Linked DNA regions of Callithrix jacchus. The protein of the gene in region 1 binds, or shares a complex with, the protein of each later gene. Links are inferred from orthologs where the notes say so. Each region holds a gene or a part of one and is shown in the gene's direction. Other genes may lie near its edges.

What was found.
Region 2: the proteins of NGFR (region 1) and RIPK2 are in contact, whole or in part, in an NMR structure (PDB 2N83), measured with the Homo sapiens proteins. The link is inferred for Callithrix jacchus from reciprocal best matches to the Homo sapiens genes NGFR and RIPK2. Residues at the interface, in NP_002498.1 of Homo sapiens: Gly334, Leu335, Ser338, Leu339, Pro340, Lys343, Val347, Ser354, Ala355, Asp357, Arg360, His361, Gly364, Glu365, Tyr368, Pro370, Ile373, Asp374, Leu398, Asp399, Leu401, Leu402, Arg406, Arg407, Ile408, Gln409, Arg410, Ala411, Asp412, Val414; in NP_003812.1 of Homo sapiens: Gln437, Ser465, Arg466, Asp467, Leu468, Met470, Glu472, Asp495, Ile496, Gln497, Gly498, Glu499, Glu500, Lys503, Ile523, Leu524, Val526, Ser527, Arg528, Ser529, Pro530, Ser531, Leu532, Asn533, Leu534, Gln536.
Region 3: the proteins of NGFR (region 1) and TRADD are in contact, whole or in part, in an NMR structure (PDB 7CSQ), measured with the Homo sapiens proteins. The link is inferred for Callithrix jacchus from reciprocal best matches to the Homo sapiens genes NGFR and TRADD. Residues at the interface, in NP_002498.1 of Homo sapiens: Glu345, Glu346, Glu348, Lys349, Leu350, Asn352, Gly353, Ser354, Ala355, Glu379, Ala380, Cys381, Arg384, Glu420; in NP_001310481.1 of Homo sapiens: Thr201, Phe202, Asn211, Ala275, Glu276, Arg278, Arg279, Thr281, Gln283, Arg284, Glu287.

What each region holds. Positions count from the first base shown.
Region 1 is NC_133506.1:116,811,820-116,815,536, reverse strand, and holds the start of NGFR (tumor necrosis factor receptor superfamily member 16), read left to right. Parts: upstream 1-791; 5' UTR 792-916; coding exon 917-982; intron 983-3,717. UniProt on the Homo sapiens protein: Low affinity receptor which can bind to NGF, BDNF, NTF3, and NTF4. Forms a heterodimeric receptor with SORCS2 that binds the precursor forms of NGF, BDNF and NTF3 with high affinity, and has much lower affinity for mature NGF and BDNF.
Region 2 is NC_133517.1:37,387,881-37,391,525, reverse strand, and holds part of RIPK2 (receptor-interacting serine/threonine-protein kinase 2), read left to right. Parts: intron 1-2,537; coding exon 2,538-2,691; intron 2,692-3,645.
Region 3 is NC_133521.1:24,663,164-24,666,908, reverse strand, and holds the end of TRADD (tumor necrosis factor receptor type 1-associated DEATH domain protein), read left to right. Parts: intron 1-367; 5' UTR 368-375; coding exon 376-481; intron 482-1,025; coding exon 1,026-1,184; intron 1,185-2,063; coding exon 2,064-2,341; intron 2,342-2,423; coding exon 2,424-2,622; intron 2,623-2,755; coding exon 2,756-3,066; 3' UTR 3,067-3,397; downstream 3,398-3,745. UniProt on the Homo sapiens protein: Adapter molecule for TNFRSF1A/TNFR1 that specifically associates with the cytoplasmic domain of activated TNFRSF1A/TNFR1 mediating its interaction with FADD.

The sequences.
Region 1 (3,717 bases):
AATGTGTAGGTAAGCACTTTGCATGTCTGAATAACATATGTGCGTGTGCATGCCTGCAGAGATGCATGTGTAAGACAGGTCGGCACAAGTGCATGGAGGACAGTGTGGGCACACGTAAGTGCACAAGCACACCTACAGGTGAGCCTGAGAATGTGTATTCCTGTGCGCTGTGTGCACACCTGTGACCCCTTCGAACCCCTCATTTGAGAATCAAATGTGGAAATGGACTCCACCTTGAATGTCCATGGCCGAAGTCAGGCCACTTGCGCCCTTCCCCTCCCCCTAGGACTCTGCCCAGGGACTTTCTTCACTGGAAAGTAGAAAGGTGGGCACAGGGGTGGAGATGAGGTGATGGACAGAGATGAAGGGCAGGGAGGGCAAGCGGGCATTCTTACTGATAGTGGCCAGGTAGGGAGCGAGGCTCCAGGGAGAAGGTGAAGCCAGAGGCGGGGGAAGATGGGTAAGAGAATGAACCCTGCGGCGGGCCGCAGCCGGAGAGAACGGGAACCGCAGTGGGGACGCCCTGGGCCCTGGGCCCCACAGCATCCGGGACCGACGCGCAGTAGCGCGGGCCGGGAACTGGGTACCAGGGCGGGATGGGTGAGAGGTTCTAAGGAACAAGGCGAGGAGAAGTGGCAGCGGGGTGCGGGGAACCGCACGCCCTCCCTTTGCCTCCGCTCCCCACCCTAAGGCGGCGGGGCGGGCGGGCGCGGTTCCGGGGGTGGGCGGGATGGGCGGGGCGGAGGCGGGGCCGCCGCACTGGCTTCACCCAGCCCCTCCCGCCCGCGGCCAGAGTGAGCCAAGACGCGGCCAGCTCCGGCGGGCGCGGGGTGCGCTGGAGCACGGCGCAGCGCAGCCCCATCCGTCCGCAGAGCGGACCGAGCTGGAAGCCTTGCGCTGCCGCGGGAGGCGAGCAATGGGGGCAGGTGCCACCGGCCGCGCCATGGACGGGCCGCGCCTGCTGCTGTTGCTGCTTCTGGGGGTGAGTGTTAGCCCGAGGGGGCCCGCTCCCTTTCCCGGGATGAGAACTCCGAGGAGAGCCGGGCGCCGCCACCCAGGAAACAGAACAGAGCGTTGGGGTCCCAGATGCTGAGGGTGGGTGGTGGGAGAGGCGCTCTGATGCTGGGACCACGAAGGAGGGTCTAGGGTTCTCGGAGCGCAGAGGCGACCCTGAGTCTAGGGTGGAGATGCGGACACGACCGGGGCACGGATGCCGGTCCTCAGGTACCGTAGGGGGCGGTGAGGGAGCTGGGAGGGGTCTTTCGAGAGGTGGCATGGGGCTCTCTGATGCCCGGGTTCTTCGGAAGAGGACACTCCAATGCCGGGATCCCGGAGGGACTCTCCCCTCAGCATCTCTGTCTCTGGAGAGTCGCGGGACGGAACCCAGGCGAGAAAAGGACGGGGAACGGGAAGCGGACTAGAGATGTGAGGGGCGAGCTGGGCTGGTGGGGGGTAGCCCGGGACCAGGGGATGGAACAATGGAGGAGGTCGGAGGGATTGGAGGCAGAGGGGACCCGGCAAGGACAATGGGGACCGGCCAGACAATGGGGGGGAGGGGCGTCGGAGGGAGAGGTTGGGGACCAGAAGTGGATTAGGGAGGGCAGAAGAGGGGCAACAGCCAGGGCTGCAGAGAGATGGAAGCAAAAGGAAAGCGGACGGAGCGGGGCGCGCACCCTAAAGTGATCGGGGCCCACTGAGGGACAGTGAGACGAGAAGTGAGAGCGGAGTCTTGGACATTTCCCGCGCCTGTCCCCGCGCTCCTGCTCATGGCCTCTCCCAGTCCCGGAATTGTGGCTGCGATCTAAGGCTGGGAGGGGAGCACCCACTTCGCCAGGTCGAACCCGCTCCCCAAGTTCCCCCATGGCCGGCGGGCTCCTCCGACGCGCGTGTTCTCATTGCTTGAAGCAGCGCGGCGGATCGCGAGGAATGGAGCGGGTGTGTCCGGACCCCGGCTGGCGGCGCCTACGTCTCAGGGTGCAGAGCGCCCGGGCGCACTAGGCGGGGACCCGTCCCGCGCAGGCGGGAGGCAGCCGGCAGGGGGCGCTGCGGGGCGAGGCAAGTGCCGTCTGCTGCTGCCTGCGAGTCTGGGGCTGCGCTCCGCCCCCTACCGAGATGCGCGACCCGAGCGCCGCGCCCACCGCGCTCCGTGGGCTCCCGCGCCTCGAAGGGTCAGGATCGTGTCTGCGCCTCGCCTGGCTCTCGGTGCAAGCCACTGGGTACCTAACGAGACCGGGGCGCCCGGACGTCTCGGATTCTGCCGCGCCGTGTCCTGAGTCACCAACTCGGCCAAGGTCGGCGACTCAGTCCTCCCGGCAGTCCGACGAGATTGTCAAGTGTGGCCTGCTGTGTGGCCATGAACCGAATGCCCGGGAAGGTCTGGCCATGGAGGAGGTGTCTTCACTCTCCTTGCCAGCATCTTTCATTTGAGCGCTGCGCTCCAAATCCCGGTTTTACAGATAGGGAGACTGAGGCTCTGAGAGTTTAAACGACTTGGCCAAGATCTCACAGCAAGTTGGGCCAGAGTTGTGGCTAGACTCCCCCAACCTGGTTCCCAGCTCCGCACTCCCCCACCTCTTCAGGGGGCAGCCGCTGTCCCAGGTCGGGGTCAAGGCTGCGTTTCCCAGCAGGGGCGGGCTTGACACCTTCCCCAGAGTCAGGTGGCAGTGGAGCCTGCGGGTAGGGTGGGCAGAGACCCTGTCCGGGCGCGGGCCCCACCCTAAAAGCTCAGCCCCGGTTCTTTGGAGCTGTCGGGACCTGTGGCCGTGTCCGGGGATTTGGGAGTGACCGCGGGCACGTCTGCTGACTAACGCTGCCGGTTAGAGACACCGCTCCGTTGCGGGTGGGACATCGTGGACCAGGGGGGCGGGGAGGAGGGACGACGACGTGGGCTCCCGGTCTGAGCAGGAGCGAGGGTCCCCGCGCCGAGACTCAAGGAAGGAGGGGAGCTGGGCGCGGAGAGCCTGGGCGCTGGTGAAGGTGGACCCGGACCGGAACCTGCCGTCTGCAGCCCCTGCGGCTCCCGCCTCCGCCTCTGCGCGCGGCTGCTGCGTCTGGGCGAGCTGTGCGCGTTCCGAGTTTCTTCCTGGGCCGCGGCGAGAGAGCGCTGAAACCAGAGCGCGTCCCGGCGGGTCGGCTGGCGGGCCGCGCCGGTAATGGAGGCACTTTGTCATTCAGACGTCTGTAACCAGAGCCGCCGGGCTGGCTAATGCGCCCAATACGGATGGAGCGAGGGCAGCAAATGGGCGTGCGTGAGCTGCCGGGCTGGGGTGGATGGTGGATGGGGAGGTAGCTCCGGGGTGATGGGCCCCCACCCCGCTGTACCAGCCCAGTCTGGCTCAAGCGCCTCGCTTCCTCCCTGGGGGCCCGGGTGGGGAGGTGGGAATAATCGAATGAGCTGAGTCCCTACTACGTGCTCGCACTGCCCTGGTACTTTCTCTTGAGTTATTTAATACTTAAAAAGTCCTAGCAAGGTGAAGTTAGTTATTGCCACCTCATAGTTGAGGAAACAGAACATTCCAGACTTTCAGGCCCGAGACCAGGCTCCCTCAGTGAGTGACTCGGTGGTGGCACCTTTGTTGAAAGCCGGGATGCTTGGCCTGGGATGTTCTCTTTCCTCCATATGCCAGGCTGCCTCCCTCCCCTACCTTCCAGATCGTGGAAGGCGTCAAGGTGCTAAACTGTCATTAGTCTGAGAGATTAAATCGTGCGCTCTGCCTT
Region 2 (3,645 bases), on another chromosome or scaffold:
AAAGTGACTGACATGTAAAAGGATCACAGTGGAAAGAAGAATGCCTCATACTCTTAATGGGAGGAGGAAAGAGTGTGTAAAGTATCACTGAGACTTCTGCAGCATCCACTCTCAATTGTTCTTAGTATCCAGGAATCTTCAGGGTCATCATCCTCTGTGTCTTGTTGGCCCAAATCTGTTGGGGCAAATACAGACCTATTTCCATTTAGGGAATAGACATTTAATTAAAATGGGCCTCACAAACTGATATAATTGGTTTTCTTGCAGTTGGAGTATTAAGTGATTGACGGACAGAGAGAATGAAAGAAGCTTTTCACTTTATGCCTTCTTGTTACTCTTGAAATTTTAAGAAATATAAATATATGACCTATTCAAAAAATAAACGACTTTTTTTTTGCTTTTTTTGTTTGTTTTTAAAGTAGTCCTCTTAGTCTAGTCCTGAATGTCTATTGCTGTTCATATTTCAACAACCATTCATTCAGAGCTTGGGAGGTGTAAGAATTAACTTATCATCATTACTTACCTAATAGGCGTCTCCTGGAAGCATTTCTATTTCTGTCATTGCTGCAACCCACATCCAATCATCCAGGGTAAAAAAATGACATCTCTAATTCCCTTTCATTTTTTTTTTAATCCCCTATAGTCAATCACCACAGCACAAGCATTCTATTCACCTAGTGTTTGTCTTTCCATTTTCACTGCTACCTTTGTAGTTTTATGTTTAGGTTTTAGGTTTACATCTTAACTGGTATTAAAATCTCCTAACACCTGAATTTCAAACTCTCACACTTTCTCCTGATCCTACATCTTGTTGCCAAGTTAATCATCTTAAAATTTTATTCTACTATCATTCCCTGACTCAAAAGCTTTCAGTCATACCAGGCACATTGGCACACCTCTGTAGTCGCGGCTACTCAGGAGGTAAAGTAGGGAGGGCTAGTCTGGGCAACATAGCAAGACCTGGTGTGTCACAAAAATAAATATGTAAGTTTCTAGTGTGTGTGTTGTATGTTAAAAAAAAAAACAAAAACAAAATACACCATCAGTCACAATTTAATGACTGCTAAATTAAGTTTTACCCTCCTAACCTGGCTTTAAGACTAAGATATGGCCCTAACCTGTCTTATTCACCTTCCTCCTTTCATATTACATATCCTGATCTGCATTAAACAATTCACAATTTCCCAAACATAGCCCTCCCTTTAACATCCTTGAATTCATTTGATACCTACCTATTGGACATCTCCTATATTACTATGCCCAGGACACTGTTCCAAGTGGTAGGCATATATAGGTTAAAAAGAAAGGCACATCCTCTCCTCAAGGGAGGCCTCATTTGTCTTAGGTACCTTCTCTCCAATGTTTAAATTCTGTCCAGTCTTAAGGTACGGCTTTCTTAAGGTATAGCTGGGATCAAAATCCTACTTTTCTGTAAATGACTCCCCTAACCTCAAATGTACTCTCTTTTTTCTGAACTCCTCATAGTTTCTTTTTCTCTTTTAGTGGCACGTTTTACATTCTGACTTATATTTTTATTCTTCTTAAAAGATTTCTGAGCAACTTGAAGGCAAAGACTGTATCTTTTTAATCTATATATTCTCCATAATGCTGATCATAGTTCTTTATTCATAATAAAAGTTAAATGTGGCCAGGCAAGGTGGCTCACACTTGTAATCCCATCACTTTGGGAGGCTGAAACTAGAGAATCACTTGAGCCCAGGAGTTTGAGACCAGCCTGGGCAACATCATAGTGAGAACTCGTCTCTACAAAAAAAAAACTAGGCGGTAGCATGCCTGTAGGGCTAGCTACTGGGAACGCTAAGGTGGGCGGATTGTTTGAATCCAGGAGTTCCAGTCTATAATAAGCTATGATCACACCACTGGACTCTAGCCTAAGTGACATAGAAAAATAGGGAAAAAAAAGTTAAGTATGTATTTGTTTTACATATGAATAAGTAAATGAACCTGGGAGCCAGAGTTACACCAGCAATTTATTAATAAGCATTTACCTGTTCTCAGTGTTCTTTTCCTGAGTTCTGGCATATAATTTATAAATATTATTGACTTTTATGCAGCTATTAAATCTATAACATTTAAATATTTTAATATTCAGGATATTTGGAAGATGTTTACATGGTATGCAACCATAAAATTTAATATTCTAATAAAATATGTTCATTTGAATACAACATAATCCTGTAATTTGTTCAAGCACCAATTATTCTAATACAGACTTTATAAAGTTAATACTGTGTTCTTTCCCTTTCTTAGGAAAAGTACAATAATAATAACCTGTGTATAGCACTTTTACCTATCAGTGGCTTGTAGAAGTTATTTTGGTCTCTAAACAGACCTGTGGAATATATAGGGTAGGTATTATTTCTATTTTAAATATGATGAAACTAAGGTGCAGAAAAGTTGCATAATTTACATGAGGTTACATAGCTAATTAATGAAAAAATCCAGGCTTAATCTTACAGGCATGTTAATTGTATATTTTGTATTACTTGAAGTAATTATGCATTTTCTTTTCTTAGTGAAAGAAAGGATGTCTTAAGAGAAGCCGAAATTTTACACAAAGCTAGATTTAGTTATATTCTTCCAATTTTGGGAATTTGCAATGAGCCTGAATTTTTGGGAATAGTTACTGAATACATGCCAAATGGATCATTAAATGAACTCCTACATAGAGTAAGTATTACACATTTTCATGCCATTTCTATTATTCAAACTATATTTTACTTTGATTTTAATTTGATTAGATTATTCAGGAATATATAGATGAATCGAAGAAAAATGAAAAACTATTACAGGGATAAAAGTTTACCTTTTGTGACATTTTTGTGTTGATTAAAACACTGTCGATTCAGGCCCTGTACTCTAGATTATTTTGCCTGGGTTACCATTCCTGACATTTACAACAAATTCTAGTATTTATATGCAGATTACATGGATAGAAATGGAAAAGATAAACTCTGTACACTGTAAAATCCACTGTTAAGTGATATTTTATTTTATATTAATAGCAATTTCAAATTCAAACTTACTGTTACTAATGCCAGTTCATAAAGTTCTGAATTAGCAGGCCAAATGTTAATAAATTATCTCTGAATGCCAGATACATTAGCTTTTCTAATAATAGACAGTGGTATGAGCCATTTACCTTTTTTCCCAAGATACCATTCACTCTTTCTTTGACTGAATTTCATGAGTAAACAAATCTAGGAATCCTCATTTTCAAAATACATGTATTCAATTAAGGGTGTTTGCTTGAGCTTACATTATTAATATTATGAGTCTGTAGTTTCAATAAATCTTTTTAAACCACTTGGTCTATTTTGTGAGAGTTGGCTTAATTAAAATTGTAAAAATCTACAAAATTCAATCAGTGGATACTCCTAAATTATAGTGTAACACAGTGTGCTCTAAGTGACCAAGGGAAAGTGGTGCCATTGTCAGTCAGTCATAGAGTACCTTCTCTTTGTTTCAGAATACATCACATTCTACTCATGACTTGTGACCATTTGAAACAAGGATGGAATAAGTAACTGGTGTCAGTCTGTAAGATTTGTGTAACTGCCACAGCAACCAATATACAAATATTAATATATCACAATTTCTTTTTTATTTTTGTTGAGAAATGAG
Region 3 (3,745 bases), on another chromosome or scaffold:
AGGGAATAGAACAATTTGTGTTGAAATGACTGGAGCCGAATTCCAAGCACTTTATAACTAAAAGGAATTATTTAGCTCACATAACTAAAAAGTCTAAATGCAATGGCTTCAGGGACAGCTGGATCCAGGAGTCTAGTATGGTTAGGAGTGCACTTCTCCATCTCTTGATTGTTTTTTTCTGTGTCAGCTTCACTCTCAGCCAGGCTCTTCCCAAGCAGTGGAAAAGAAGGGCTACCCTTTCCTTCCAGTTTAGCCCCAAGGGAAGGGAAATTAATGCCTCTTTCCTATTGGCTCATCCAGAGTTGCAGGGTTGATTCTCATTGGTCCAACTTTAGTCCTATACTCCACCCTAAACTAATCACTGCAGAAATGTGAATGAAATATGCAGATTGGCCAGGTATGGTGCACAAGCCTGACCTGGAGCTAGGGAGTGGGACACAGGCACATGAATTGAGAAGAAGGAGAAAGGAAGTCCCTAAAGGTAAGTCAGGCTTTGGGGAGGGAATCTGGGTAGATGCAAACTACAGGTGTCCTTTGAAGTGAAGACAGGAGGTTTAATCTTAGGCTGAGGTCCTCCAGAGATACTAGACTCAAGTCTATTCAGAAGGCAAGGCCAGGATATGGGCCTGGTGGGCTTTGGGGCATGGGCACCATCCAGAATGAAGGTGTCTCCTGTCCACTTTGATAAGAGAGGCCTGAGGAGGAGGCAGAGAAGCCCCGTTGCAGGATCTACCTCTGCTCCCCCTCCACTGTGACGCTGGTCTCTTTTCCTGAGAACGCAGTGGGGGGACAGTCCTTTCTGCAAGTCTGGGGTGGGACTCTGTACAGAGCCAGGAACTCAAGGGGCTTGCCTGTGAGATGGTGAACTCCTGTCCCAAGTATGCCAACTAGTGTTGGGGTACACCTGAACGATGTGGGACTTGAGGCTACTGTGGTGGGGACAGCTGAACCACCTGGTGCTGGACAGTTGTCTCCAGGGCAGAGGGAGGGAGATGAACTGAATACCCAACTGTCTGCATCTCCAGGAGGTGAGATGGCAGCTGGGCAAAATGGGCACGAAGAGTGTGTGGGCAGCGCATACCTGTTTGTGGAGTCCTCGCTGGACAAGGTGGTCCTGTCGGATGCCTACGTGCACCCCCAGCAGAAGATGGCAGTGTACAGGGCTTTGCAGACTGCCTTGGCAGGTGCGTGGGTGTGCTGGCATGTGGAGAGGAAAAAGTGGCCTGGGGCATTTTGTGGGTGGGGCTGAGGCTGCAGGTCCTCTACTAGGTGGGCTTGGGCTTAACCACCTTTAGGGAAAAGATTTGGGGTGGGAGGAGGAAGACGGAGGACCCCTGGATGTGTAGACTCTGTCCTCTCTTTTTGTGGCATGACCTTGAGGGTATATATGTGTCCTCGAGTCAGTGTATGATTTACCTATTTGTGCACTAACGTCCTTTGCTCCATCCCTGCCCTCTCCACCAGCCAGCTCACTCCTTTCTACTAATTGTGGATGCCTCTCTCCTCTTTTCCTCTCTTACTGCAGCACTCCTTTCTCAAGACCCCTCCCCAGTACCTACCCTTCCAGGCCCCGCTTTCCCATCTCAGGGCAGAGGCCACAGGAGGCTGAAGCGGGTTGGGGGATCAGTTCGTGGCCTCAGAGCGACGAGAGCCCCCCTCTCTTCTTCCCGAGCAGTGGGAGCCGAGCTTGGTGGAGGCTGAAGACCTGAGACCTCCCGCCCTCCTCTGCCCTGCTGGCCTCCTACCCAGAAGGCTTGGTAGCCTAGGGAACACGTTTCCTTTTCTGTGCTACAAAGTCACTCTCTTTTGCCAGCTCTCATTTGGGACATGGGAGCTGGGGCTAGGTGGCACCCACTCTGTCTTGGGGTGCTCCCTGTGATAGGTCCTGGCCTTCTTTCTGGGTTGTTGCTGTTTGCATCCCAATTTTTGCTTTCCATCTGGGTACTCCAGGGTAACTGTACCCTAGATCAGGGGATGGGACGGGGCTTGACCACGGGAGAATGACCGAGCTTGGGGACCGTCTGGCGCCTGACCTCCCGGCGCCTGACCGCCCGCCTCCGCAGAGAGCGGTGGGAGCCCGGACGTGCTGCAGATGCTGAAGATCCATCGCAGCGACCCGCAGCTGATCGTGCAGTTGCGATTCTGTGGGCGCCAGCCCTGCAGCCGCTTCCTCCGCGCCTACCGCGAGGGGGCGCTATGCGCCGCGCTGCAGAGGAGCCTGGCGGCCGCCGTCTCCCAACACTCGCTATCGCTGCAACTGGAGCTGCGCGCCGGCGCCGAACGGCTGGACGCTTTGCTGGCGGACGAGGAGTACTGTTTGAGTTGCATCCTAGCCCAGCAGGTGCGGCCGGGCTGGGGTCAGGATGGGGTAGGGCAGGAATCCGAGGCCCAGCCCCTGGTGACGGCAAGTTCCCTTCCCTTAGCCCGACCGGCTCCGGGACGAAGAACTGGCTGAGCTGGAGGATGCACTGAGGAACCTGAAGTGCGGCTTGGGGGCCCAGGGTGGCGACAGGGAGGTCTCTTTGGACCCCTCTCAGCTCCCCGTGCCCTCTCTGTCGGAGGTGAAGCCGCGGCCGCCTCCAACGCCTGCCCAGACTTTTCTGTTCCAGGGTCAGCCTGTAGGTGAGGGGCAGGTGGAGAGGCAGGGTCACCAGGAGATTGGAGTCTGGGGAGGAGCAGTGTCGTCGCCGGGTGGGGATGGGTGGGATAGGCGCTGGGGCGCCCCCCTCACCCCGCTTCCTCACTCCTTCTGCAGTGAACCGGCCGCTGAGCCTGCAGGACCAACAGACGTTCGCACGCTCCGTGGGCCTAAAGTGGCGCAAGGTGGGGCGCTCGCTGCAGCGGAGCTGCAGAGCGCTGCGGGACCCGGCGCTGGACTCGCTGGCCTATGAGTACGAGCGCGAGGGGTTGTATGAGCAGGCCTTCCAGCTGCTGCGGCGCTTCGTGCAGGCCGAGGGCCGCCGCGCCACGCTGCAGCGCCTGGTGGAGGCACTTGAGGAGAATGAGCTCACCAGCCTGGCAGAGGACTTGCTGGGCCTGACTGATCCCAATGGCAGCCTGGCCTAGACCAGGGGTGCCGCCAGCTTTTGGAGAACCTGGATGGCCCTAGGGTTCCTTCTGCTGCTATTGCTGAACCCTTGTCCATCCACGGGACCCTGAGATCCCACTTGGCCTATCTGCTGGACCTGCTGAGGCAGGGTTGACTGCCTTCCCCAGGAGCCAGACCAGCACCCACCGAGCCCCCTGGGGGTGCACCATTGGGGATTCTGCCTCAGGTACTTTGATAGAGTGTGTGGGGGACCTGCTTCGGAGATCAGTCTCACCTGTAAGGGTTATTGCCGAGTTTAGAAAGAGGAAACTGAGGCCAGTATAAGAAAATTAAATGCCAATTTATTCAGCTCCTGGGCGAGGTTCTCTGGTCTGGGGAAAGGGGGCCAGAGAAGTTGCGCTGGCTTCCTGGGGCGTGGGGTTTTTATGGCTATGAGGAAGGAGCAACGGCTGGGTGCTCTGATTGGCTCCAGGAGAGCGGGATTGGGACGGGGTGGGCCACCATTGGTTGGCAGGCCGCCATTGGTTGGCGGGTTGTTGGGTGGGTTTTCTGGTTCGAGAGCTGGCCAGAGTTGCACCGGCCTGGAGCCTTCCAGGGGAGCCATGTGGCACAGCTAGGTGCAGAGGTGGGTGTGTCTGGCTTCCCTTCGAGGCAAACCGCCTTACATTCCAACCCTTTTGAAGATACAGGATGCCG